Linked DNA regions of Drosophila melanogaster. The protein of the gene in region 3 purifies or fractionates together with the protein of the main gene of each other region. This does not show direct contact. Each region holds a gene or a part of one and is shown on either strand. Other genes may lie near its edges. The genes, in order: CG34205, Nplp2 and CG4390.

Region 1 (3,427 bases), on a different chromosome or scaffold from region 3:
TTCTTTCAGCCTGCCAGATGTTCCTGATTTTGTCCTTTGTACTGCGTTCTACTCGTAGGAGTTCCCTCATTCTCATCGCCTTGCTGATTGCCGCCTGGGGTTTAATGTACATGACGCGCTACGCCTCTCCGCATTATGTGCCGCCCATGAGTAAGTTTTAAATCAATTAACTAAAACTCACTGTGTATAATTTTCAAATTCAAATTTTCACTTTTCCTACAGTGACTGCATATAAAGTCATCATGATGACCACCACCTATTGCTACATTCTGCACATCTGCATTATATGGCTGGATCTATATCCACCCAGATCGAAGGCTCCTGGCTGGCTGGTTAGGGTGATTAACTCCAATGTTCTGCGATGCATTCTGGGATTGAGATTTTCGGATGTGAGTAGTTAAGCCCCTATTGAACACATATACGTATTGCAATTCACTATATTCCTACAGTCTACCGACTATTGCGACATTCAGGAGAATCCCTGGCACCATATGGCCAAGATCCTGAACAACCTGAGTTCAATCTTGGTCATTATAACCTTTGCCATCGTAGATATTACGAGTGGGTTTTGAAAAACAGAATTTTTCTTTATTGTGCATTTGAGAGAATATTAATGGTTCTTAAATAAATAAGAAGTAAACAGAGAAGATTGTGAAGATTTTGCGACTACAAGTTGAAAAAGTGGGAGAGCGTGCTGGGCTGTTGCGACTCCTCGCAGTTAATTGCTGCCATTGTTCCAACTCCGATCCGGGATCGATTTGGATTTGGAGTGTTTTGGTATCGGAGCTTAGTGGTAACCGTATCCACCCAGGGACAGGGCAGGTGCAGCGTATGACTTAACCAGGGCAGGAGCTGCGTAGCTGATGGCTGGAGCCGCATATGACTTGACCACCGTGGGAGCAGCGTAGCTGATGGCTGGAGCGGCATGGGCGTAACTGATGGCTGGAGCGGCATAGGACTTGATCACCGGAGCTGGAGCAGCATAGGCGATGGCAGGCGCAGCGTACGACTTAACAATGGGCGTGGCATGGGAAACAACCTGTGCATGCAAAGTAGATTGTAAGATTAAATGGGAAAATATCAGAGTATATCCAGATCTTACCGAGCTGAAGTGCGAGTAGCTGGTGGCTGGAGCTGCCACCTTGACCGCCACAGGAGCAGCATAGGACTTGACCACCGTGGGAGCGGCGTAGCTGATGGCAGGAGCGGCATGGGCGTAGCTGATGGCTGGAGCGGCATAGGACTTGATCACCGGAGCTGGAGCCGCATAGGTGATGGCTGGGGCAGCGTAGGACTTGATGACTGGAGCTGCAGCTGCATATGTTATGGCAGGAGCGGCATGGGCGTAGCTGTAGTCCGGAGCCGAGTGTCCATAATCAAGGAGTCCAGGAGCAGCAGTGGCCACAGCCAGCAGAGAGGTAAGGATCTGGCGAGGTAAATGGAAAACCAAACTTTGATGTTAATCTTTTTGATCTAGTGAATATAAGATCGAGGTAATCCTTGTATGAAGATATCCTTTGCAGTCAGTATTATTGGCTTAAAGTGATAATACTGATCCTAGGCCGCATCCTTTCCAACCCTTTCCACTCACCAGAAGTTTCATGCTAGCGCTGGATAACGAATCACTTGGCTTGGAGGGAGAATTGCAACTGTAAGTGGACGTGTGCATTGCGTTACTTTTATACCCCTCGACGGCAGACCACGCACTCGCACTCTCGAGCGGACTGCGAACTGCGGACCGGAGGACAGGTGGTCGAGCGGACAGATCTTGACTAGATTTCGATCTGAGCCTCGGACGGACAAACAGTCAGCAGACAGCAGTCAACAAAGCGGGCCAAGCAGCACCAATTTGTGAAGTATCTCGGCTGCAGTGAAACTGCAATTCTCGTAGACGCAGCTCGGATTGGAGAGCCCCCAAACGCGGATGACGCAACCTGAACTGGAGCTGGGAGTTGGGAGCTCCGAACCGAAGGCAGACCACTTGCCGGCTAAGGAGTCGCCGCAGGAAAGGCGGTCTTTACACTGGGGGTGCCATTGTGGCTCGCATTTGGAAAGCGCACGCTAATTGAAATCGCTGATTAGCTGGCCAATTTGGGCAACGCGCCAGGTGACACGCCCCTCGAAAGCACGCAGCCTTGCCACTAACAACTTAATTAGCCAACGTAGAATGCCGTCTAATTGTTTTCGTTGCTATGTTTGAGTATTCTCGAAACAATTCTCGGCGTGGCGCTGGGAAATTCTCTCCAAATTGCATAATGAACGCTTGCCAAATCGGCAAACGCCAAAACCAAACACCAAGCAGCAATCCCCTCTGGCCGAAATATCTAGGCGAGCTTCATATTTATCTTTATCGTGCCTCGAATGCCGCTGCGTGCCACATTTGACCATATTGGATGGGTGATTTCAGCCGCAGCCACGCCGTCTCGTCTCGAGGACACTCGTGCGTGGCGAGGGGGTTTGGATCGAGTGGAGGCCCCAGTTCGCCAGCTCCAGCTCCAGCTTCAACTCGCCATCGATCCATCGACTTTGCCGGCTGAAATTGCCGGTTCAGCATCTGGCAGTTCGTGGGATTTTTTATGGCCGACTTGATTAACCCCACGGGATGTGCGGGGGTACGGAGGTGTGACATTGGGTCATCACAAAATTAATAATGCTACAAATTGTTGAGAATGCTCGTCGTGATCCTTATCACGGATTAATAGTGTCTCAAGTAATCATTATATCACTTATTCGCTTTAAGTATAGATATGGTGTATATATTCATTTCTTAAATGATTTATATTTTTGTGGACTTTACATAACTTTTTGAGACAATAAGGTAGTCCGTGTTTAAATACTTGCTTTATATATTAGGGTTAAGAAACTAAAGTTTGGAAAGCACATAATGTCTCAGATTAGCGCATGCAACTTGCAGCACTTCAGTGGAGTTCCTCTCAAGAGGTCTCGAAAACACCACTTCAACGCCGAAATCTCGTAAAAAAAACTCGAAAAAAAACTTAGCACAATGAGAAAAGGACAGCACGAAACGCCGCAAAAGAGACAGAGAGTCACCTGCGATCGCAGTTCATGCATAAATCATGCATGCCAGTGGAATGTGATTTATGTGAATTCTATTAGCAAATATTAAGTCAATAGGAGCAATTGTTGCCAGTGGTCGGCGACTGCCAAACAAGTGTTCCATGTCCAATTCGATCCGGACAGATGCGGACAGATCGGTGTTGTGTGTTGTGGTCGGTGTGTCGCCGGTCCTCATAAATAAAAGATTTCCCAGCCACTGCCCCACATTTTGGCCAGGTGGAAAGCAATTTTCCAGCAATCGGTCGGTGGATCAGAAGGGTGGCAAACTCGAATGCCAAATTGCCACATACTAAATGACGATTTAAGGCGATCAGCCGATCGATCCTCGTCTTGGTTTTTATGGCTTCGA
Region 2 (3,436 bases), on a different chromosome or scaffold from region 3:
GAAATCCCTTGGAAGAAGCAAAAATCCACTTTGGTATTATGCAATCGTGCGCGGCGATGAAGTTAGATTGGGCGATCGGAGGGGATTCCCCGAGATGCGATGCCGTACAAATGCCAATACATTATTCATGGTTTCGAAAGCCCTCACATTTCGTCCTCCATTCCCCGAGTTGGCTGCGCCAAACAGGTGTGCAAAATAGCTGACAAATATTTCACGCGTGCTACCGTTTCAAAGCCAGTTGTTCTTACGAAACTCAAATCATGGCAATAATTTTTGATTTTCTGCAATTTTCTTCGAAGAAGAGCGAGATCAGCACTCTTCAGCATCTAAAATCTTTAATAACACAGTGAAAACGGTATAGAAAAGTTCCATAACTTAGCTTGTAGGAAGTGCAATTAACCATTTTCGGTGGCCGTACTAATAAAAATTGGCATAATTATAATAATTTTATCCTAACCAAGTCAAATTCATGCGTGGAAGCATATTTTCTCAGAATAAAAGAAATATAAATAAAAAAATCATCTTTCAATCTAAACATCTCAATTTTACCAATTTTAAGGTAATAAAATAGCTATTCTAGAAAGTGGAATGGAAAAATTTTTTAAAGTAATAGGCAAATATATGTTTTTGTGCTAAAAACAATTAACGTTTTAATTTCATTTTTTAGTTTTCATGTATGTAACAACTAAAGTTAAAGTTAAAACATTTATTGGAGTCGTTTTCAATGTAATGATATATGGCCATCCAACAACGTCTTAGGTGGATGCGGCTGGTGCCTGAAGAAATGTTTCGTTAAGTTTTTGCAGACCCTCCTGCACGGTATTTAATCCATCCTTGAAGAGACCCTACACAGAGAGAAAAGTTGTTAGTTAGAAATTCGTAAATACTTTATGGAAAATACGTATGTAGTGGATAGAATGAGTTTTAAGCGTCTCCACGAAAAATGACTATTAATTACTTAGAACTCGCTTTATTTTTGATATGATTGCTTTATAATTACCTCAACCTTCTTCGCGTCCAACGCCTTCAACTTTTCAATGAATTCGTTGAAATCACCCTGGGCCTTGGTAAGAAATTCTTGGGCAGGATTGGATTCCTCACGGGGGACGCGGGCGGACAGAGCCAACTGAAATCAAAGTGCCACATTGTAGTTTATCTCTGAAAATAGGTCCTGCATCTGTGTGCCAGGACTTTGAGCATTTTACTTACGGCGAACAGGGCGAACACGAGGATGCAAATTGCGAGCTTGGCCATTTTTGTGTTGGTTTTTTGTAACTGCTGCGGAACTCTGAACTAGAGAACGATGACTTGAGTACTGATTGAACCTCTGCCAAACTACTCATAACGACACCTCGTTTTGCGCCGCAGCCGGCCGAATTTGAGACCGGCTTATCGGCACTAGGAAGGCCGAGCGTTTAGAGCTACGGAGCTGACCCGTGATAAGCGTACTTTTTTCCGTAGCATGCTGGAATAGATTGCTTCGCATAACAGCTGAGCGTTTGCTTGGCTCAAGAATGTCTACATTTGTTTAGTCACAGAAGATAACCGCTTTATGCAACCGCCAAATAGTTAATCTCTGTAGGACTTAATGGTATTGCCCTATCCTCGAATCCAGTATTCTAGCACTTGGCCCGTAACAAAGATTTAAATATATAATTTAAGAATATTTTTAATTTGAATTTCAACAAGAAATAATTATGGAATTACCACTGTATAAATTTGGAATATACATATCCTACAATGTGTGCTTATCATTTCAATGGCTCGCATAGCTAAGCTGTTCTGAAGGCCTTTCGATCCAGCAATCGGAATTGTTTATCTACTTTTATTTGTTTTTTTCATTAAAGACCAAATATTTTAATATTTCTGTAAGCATTTTTTTTAGTTAAATATATATTTATATATAGTTAAAGTGAAGAGATAACGCTATAGTCGACTTTCTGTACGAGTAACAGGTATATAGTCAATTTTATTTTATACTATAATTTCCATTTTACCGGCTATCAATGCAAAGCACGTGGCACGTGATAAGGTTTTTTTTAAATGCTTTTGATAAGGCGCCCTACATTCGAAATTATGTAATTGCGCAAAATAAATATTTATAATACCGAGTATTAGAAAATTTGACGAAGCAACCCGGAAATTTCCAACGCGAAGCTAAGTTGGAGAAATGCAAATGCGATTGGACTTGGGCAAACCAAACAACGCTTTCAGAATATTTAGACAGAGCTACTCTTGTAGACTTTGGATATCAAAAACGTAAATTTAGCATGGTGAACTCATCTTAAAAGGCGAATAGAAATAACGAAACACTATTATCAACATAGATGCTGCGGTAAAAAAACTGAACTAACAAAAATAGTGTATTCTGTAGCTCACCTCCAGGGGTTAAAGTAATTTAAATGATGAATTCGCATATTTAGTAAAGAAATTACAGTTCTCTGGTTTTGAAAGCTGAATAGATAAGGGCTTACTGCTCGGAGTAAATCCGAAGATTACGTAATGGTTAAAAGAGGTAATAATAATTAGAATAATAGTCGTGTATTGCCGTATTTTTAGCGTAATCACGATATGATAGCCATATAAAGTGACAATCGGGGTTTTTTATTTGTATTATATTGCAACAGTTTGATCTCTCGGATCAACTCTCGTGTCTTCAAGGGCAATTCATTAAAACAATAAATGTGAAGTGCGATGCTGAAGGGTTTCCCCCAACTTAAGCCCCAAAAGTAGTTAGTCAAGAGTAGAGTTTGTTTCGGGAGCAACGAACTAAACAGCAAACAGAGCTCAAAGTGCACGACTTTATGCCTCGTTTTCGTAATTTTCCCCAGACACAAACAAACCCAATTAAGTGGCAGCACGAGTCAGAAGACCCAGACCAGATACCCAGAACCACTAATAAATTTTCATTTGGCGGAATGAAAATATTTAATTGCAATTTCGCCAAGTGGCTAAAACTTAGCCCCACGGTCTGGTCTGTTGGTTGGTCGGGTTGAAGTTCTCCTAGGGCACCGAACTGAGGATATGCTCCGGCACTGGCGGATGACATTGGGGCAGGGGTGGACCCAACGTGGGGTAGGTTCGCAGACGGAGCAGCTCCAGAATCGTCTGCAGTTCCAGCACATGGGCGTAGTTGCGGCGGACATTCTCCATGAGCTGCCGATGGGTCTTAATCTGCGACATTCTGCGGTGGAAAGAGAACATATGTTTTAAATATAAAACTGTTTGATTTTTGCATGAAATTCGGTAATTAGCCCGAAATATGAGCAGTGGTAAAAATACTTTTTACTGTAGCCAACAGATAGATAAGTTTCTTCTTATTTTCTGATAAGTATGACAGCAACTTTTAAATGCAACATTATATTGGCAACGTACTAGTTTTGATAGCTTTAAAAGTCAACTTTTGCGAATTTAGATGAACTTTTGCTAGCAGTTA
Region 3 (5,553 bases):
AAACACAAAAGCGCGCGAAGTTACACAAACAAAGGGGGGTCCAAAAAACAGGACTATCTCGCGCACACACGCAGTCACGCAAATACAGAGCTGGCGACTCCGATTGGTCCTAGTAAATATGGCGCCAAACGAGTCGAGAATGTCGCCTTTTGGTACCTCCGTTCGGTTCGGTTCCCTCTGTCACTAGCACATCTATTCCATCAGACGGCGTTTTTTCTACTGATGAATGAATCGTACGCAGGATGCCAGGATGCGGAAAGTTTCCAGCATGCCGTGGACCAACAACCGGAAAGCTTTTACTACGTTGCGAGCTTTTACCCTTACCACAAGTCCGGGAAAAAGTCCTTAGGAATTCGACGAATGCTGAATACCCATTACTTAAGTTTTTGTTTGTGAAAGGAAATTGCTGAACTTAAAACCGAAATAACAAAGTACACGCCATTTGTGTATAATCTTCTGTACATTGGCACCTAGAATGAATAAAAATATTTGTTTTTCAAAGTCCAAGTTCAAAGTTTAAAGTCAAGAATGTAAGAATACATTTTAGAAGCTCAGTCGAAATTGGTTTATTTACTGCCAAATTTACGTTGAATTATGGTTTCGGTGGAAACCAACGATTATGTACAAGCGGAATATCATCAAGCGGAAGCTGTGAGCAGGGCGGCATGGTAGGCGATGTGTTCGGCGACGAACGTGGCGATGTAGAAGTAGCTGTGATCGTATCCCTCGCGCTGCTTGAAGATGGTCTGGATGTGATCATTGCCATCTGCGGCAGCCAGCAGGTTCTCCGGCAGCAGCTGCTTGCCGGCCAGGAAGTTGTCTGCTGCACCTTGGTCGATGAAGAGCTCCTGCGGAGTGCTCTCGTACTGCGACACCAGATGCGTGGCATCCCACAGGGCCCAGTCATCCGGATTGGAGCCCAGATAGCCGGCAAAGGCCTTCTTGCCCCACGGGCACTCGGTGGGATTGGCAATCGGCGCAAAAGCGGACACCGACTGGTACAGCCCGGGATTCTTAAGCGCGCAGATCAGGGCTCCGTGGCCGCCCATACTGTGGCCGAATATACCGCGTTTACCGGGAACCACGGGCAGATTGGCATTGACCACATCCACCAGCTCCTGGGTCACATAGCTGTACATCTTGTAGTGCTTCGACCACGGCTCCTCCTTTGCATCCACATAGAATCCAGCCCCGCTTCCAAAGTCGTATGCATCATCTTGGCCGGCAATTTCCACGCCCCTGGGCGAAGTGTCCGGATTGACGACGATCAGGTTGTGGCGGGCGGCGTGCTGCTGGAATCCGCTCTTCTGGATGAAGTTCTCATGCGTGCAGGTCAGTCCGCTGAGGAAGAACAGCACCGGACACGGTTTACCCTCCAAAGCGGCCGGCGGCAGGAAGACGCCAAAGGTCATGTCGCACTTCAAGGTGTCCGAGCGATGGCGATACACGCGTTGCTCGCCCTCGAAGCACTTATTTGCGGACAGCTGTTCGAGCGTCATGTTCTGGGGGTGAAACGGAGTAAATAATTTGTAAGCTAAAACTGAAATCCATTAATTTTTAAAAACGCACTTGTTTTTTGACGATCTAAAAATAACAAGCGATAAGAAAACAGTGTGACCGCGTGTAGAGCGCCAAAAGTGGGAAGCTTTCAGAACATCTTGGTATCGATGATTAAAAGGGTAGATCCCATAGGAGTTAATATTTTCTAGAATTCTTTAAATTAATATAAATCTATTAATTATTACATATTGATGATGTATTAAATATGTAAAAATTGCAATTATTACAAACGAATATATTCCTCATAAGTAAACATTGAATTTTAATGTGCCCGTTTCATACAAAAATACTAACTCCATAACGATTGTTACGCAAGTACCATCACTAGCCGGGAAGAAGAAGCGCCAGTTGGCGAAATTGCTATTGTTAATTGTTGTTAACGTGAATTACTAGATAAGTACATAAATTTAAAAGCCGGAGAATGTCGGAAGAAGCGGCTAGCACCTCGTCCTTTGGCTTCAAGAAGCGGAACCTCAAGAAGGGAGCTGGAATTCGTCGCAAAAAGGAAACCAGCAGTGATGAATCTGGTAGGAACTTAATTTTACCGCCAACAAAGTAAATGGGCAAATATTATTGATATTCCAGCAAAAAGCAGCGATGAAGAGACCAAAGGCAAAGCCAGTGCTCTGGTGCGAGCCGAGAACCGCCGAAAGCGCACGAATCCCAACTTCCAGAGCACCAAGACAATGAGCAAAGCAAAGAGACAGGCGGGAGGAGTTGGTGATGATGGCTCATCCTCAGCCTCCGACGATGATAAACTGGGCATTGCGTACAAATCCAAACGCGAGGCGCTGCCCAGTGGACCCCAAGATCAGGGAGCTACATCGATTAACGAAATGGACACAGAATTGGATCGCGATGCGCAGGCAATTCATGCGCGAGCTCTGAAAATCAACGAAGAGCTGGAGGGCAAGGCGGACGATAAGATCTATCGCGGAATTAACAACTATGCGCAGTACTACAAGAAGCAGGATACAGCGGCAGGGAATGCCAGCTCCGGAATGGTACGAAGTGGCCCAATTAGGGCTCCTGCCCATCTTAGGGCCACTGTCAGGTGGGATTATCAGCCGGATATATGCAAGGATTACAAGGAAACAGGATATTGCGGCTTTGGCGACAGCTGTAAGTTTCTGCACGATCGCAGTGATTACAAAGCGGGCTGGCAATTGGAAATGGATCACGAAAATCAGCGAACGGGTGATGTAGACTCCGATGGCGATGATACCAAGTATGAGATTCACTCCGATGAAGAAACACTGCCTTTCAAGTGCCACATCTGCCGACAGAGTTTTGTCAATCCCGTGGTAACAAAGTATGAAGATGATAACGATTTCTAAACTGGATTTACTGAATAAATAACATATTTATCTTTCTTCCAGGTGCAAGCACTATTTCTGTGAAAAGTGCGCCTTGGCCCAGTACAAAAAGTCACAGCGCTGCATCATCTGTTCCCAGCAAACAAATGGTATTTTCAATCCCGCCAAAGAGCTGATAGCTCGCCTCAAGACAAACCCAATGGAAAACTCAGATAGTGATGAGGAGGAGGAATTTGGGAAAAAGGAGGATAAAGCGGAAGCAGGGGAGGAAGCTCAGGAGATTTCTTCGGATGATAGTGATTAAAATATTTTTTTAAATCATTTATACAGGTTGTGAAAGTAAATAGGGACATTGATTAGATGCTTCACATAAAATCCATTTTACAGCACATTTGCCGCATAAGTGTAGAAAGTAAAGTAAGGATTGTACCACCGATAGGTGGCGTGTAAGAAATTGTAAAACCCTTTGCCCCAAAGAGAATTGCTGATAAATCACTATTCTTACTTGTAACTAGAAAAATATATTTTGATAAGTTTTCAACCAAGAAATACTAGTTCTGTGGTATTTATTAAAATTTTTACTTATTTTTGGGCGATCTATTACGATTGGTTAACATACAAATTATGCACAGCAGTTCATCTGTAAGTTGTTTTAACACGTATATATGTATGTATTCATTATTATTTATAATTCATACTAAAATTTGATACATAGGGACGGGACTGGAAAGTTAATCGTGAAAAGCATTTTATAAAATTAATCACAACGAGGATTTTATATTAATGTTTAGTCCGCAGGACCTAAAAGCCTTACTCACCTCGGTCATAATGTGGCCAAAACTGAGCACAATGCTCCGTCGCTTGGGAAGATTTGAACAGGCGACTATGGAATATACGAATGAGCTTCTACCACTCACACTGGGCAGACGAAGGAAATTTCTTCCCATTCCCAAGGGAGCTGCAATAACTTTGTGATTTCGATCGAGTATTGCTTGACGTTTGAAACGATCAAAGGCCAACTTTGACCAAATTTAAACTTGGCAAGCAACTGAAACTACTGCCTTCTTGAAGCGGCAAAATTTTGGCCCAATCTTATAGCCATAATTTAATTGTCAGCACTTTCATTTCCCGTTTCGCTCGCATCAGAAAGCACAGGCACAGAAAGTAGGGGAATTGGAAGCTGGGAAACGTAGTAAAGCGGGCCAAACTTATACGGAAGTGAATTCGTTTGACTTTTGCCCGCTAAAATCAAAACCTCCTGCCAAACTTCTAGGCCGCATTGTTTCACAGCACAAAGCCGAAATATTGGCCAGTGGTAACGAATCGATGCTTAGCCACAAATTCCAAAATCCATCCGGCTTCTCTGCCCACCCTTTTTCCCTAGCTCCGAGCATGCAAAATATGAGCACATAAGCCTTTAAAAGCAGCCCAGCTGCCCAGGATGAGCAAAAAGGATAAAACTTCTATTTTCCAGGATCCTAGCTGCCACAATGTCGAGCCGATTTTATTGGAGGGGTTTATGCAGAAGGTTTGCCTGTTCCTCTGGTTACGCATAATACTTTTACCTCGTTTGTATACACCATTCACATTTCTTTAAGACAGCCACTATTCAGATGCTGGTAATTGCTGCAGTAGGGAAATTTGCCTCTGCTGTGGATTTTTCCAAGGATAACAATCATCAAGCTGGCTCACGGCTATTAGGTCACGTTCGCATTTTCTCACATTTTATGTGCCACTCACTTATTGGCAGTGCAATGGTTAATTGAATGACAAAGTCGTGCATGAAGAACGCAACCTAATTGAGGAGGAGGCAATAATTGTTTCGACCTGCAAATCAGTTTTAATTATTTCCATAAATGCGAAAGTGAGCGGCAGACGTGAGCTCTGAAATTTTATACTTTCTGTCAGCGGCTTTGATTGCCAAAGCGCAATAAGTAGGCAGGGGATTTGGGTTGCTTTTCCGGGCAGGATGGGTAGTTTTTCCGCCTAATTAGGATTTAGAAATTTGTGTGCGGTTGCTCACACGATTGCGTCTCGGCCCCAAAGTAATTAGGCGTTAAATGAGTTTGACGCCTCCAGAAATCGGGGAACATGGTTTCGTTCTCGAAACATCATCTTGATGTTGTTTACATTGAGCTTTGTGTGCTCACTAGCAATGATACTAAATTAAATATAAGCCTACTTAAGTTTTTGTACTTTAACATTGCAATTATCTCAGTTATACTTAAATTATATTGCCAGCTGAAAGTTAAGATACATAAGAAGGAATGCTAAAGGACTCTGACTACCATATATCCTCATTCCTGCTTAAAAGAGTCTGAGTAATAGACTGATTAGGGATTTATTTCAAATTATGATAAATATATTCACAATATTATCAAGTCGGAAATGCTACATTCGTCGAATTTCATAATGGGACTAGTACACCCTTTTGAGTAAGAGGTAGAATAGTTTTAAGTCATGCAGTTTAATTCTGACTATAGAAATCATCAATATCAGTTTCCTAGAACTATAGAAGTTATATATATATAGTGACTATAATACCCTAATTTTTGTTATGAAACAAGTTTAATATTCATCTTTTAAGACTTTTATGTAAAATTGTGTGTAATTTTAAGTGTATAGATACATATATCATTTTTTCCTGTGCATATGTACCCAAGGGCCATCTTGTACC

Evidence for each region.
Region 1: the proteins of CG4390 (region 3) and CG34205 purify together in Drosophila melanogaster (affinity purification with mass spectrometry, with the first as the bait; one large-scale study listed by BioGRID). This does not show direct contact.
Region 2: the proteins of CG4390 (region 3) and Nplp2 purify together in Drosophila melanogaster (affinity purification with mass spectrometry, with the first as the bait; one large-scale study listed by BioGRID). This does not show direct contact.

The regions. Positions count from the first base shown.
Region 1 is NT_033778.4:22,129,542-22,132,968, forward strand, and holds CG34205 (uncharacterized protein), read right to left. Parts: upstream 1,759-3,427; 5' UTR 1,670-1,758; coding exon 1,592-1,669; intron 1,427-1,591; coding exon 1,103-1,426; intron 1,040-1,102; coding exon 788-1,039; 3' UTR 573-787; downstream 1-572. Other genes in the region: NtR, read left to right, coding at 10-150, 223-389, 450-572.
Region 2 is NT_037436.4:13,354,417-13,357,852, reverse strand, and holds Nplp2 (Neuropeptide-like precursor 2), read right to left. Parts: upstream 1,478-3,436; 5' UTR 1,255-1,477; coding exon 1,210-1,254; intron 1,127-1,209; coding exon 1,001-1,126; intron 846-1,000; coding exon 756-845; coding exon of another isoform or gene 657-755; 3' UTR 630-656; downstream 1-629. Other genes in the region: CG17687 (uncharacterized protein), read right to left, coding at 3,004-3,184.
Region 3 is NT_033777.3:20,055,873-20,061,425, forward strand, and holds CG4390 (uncharacterized protein), read right to left. Parts: upstream 3,879-5,553; 5' UTR 3,824-3,878; coding exon 3,695-3,823; intron 3,420-3,694; exon of another isoform or gene 3,181-3,419; coding exon of another isoform or gene 2,940-3,180; intron 2,873-2,939; coding exon of another isoform or gene 2,146-2,872; intron 2,088-2,145; coding exon of another isoform or gene 1,982-2,087; exon of another isoform or gene 1,876-1,981; intron 1,619-1,875; exon of another isoform or gene 1,570-1,618; intron 1,503-1,569; coding exon 639-1,502; 3' UTR 546-638; downstream 1-545. Other genes in the region: mdlc (midlife crisis), read left to right, coding at 1,982-2,087, 2,146-2,872, 2,940-3,180.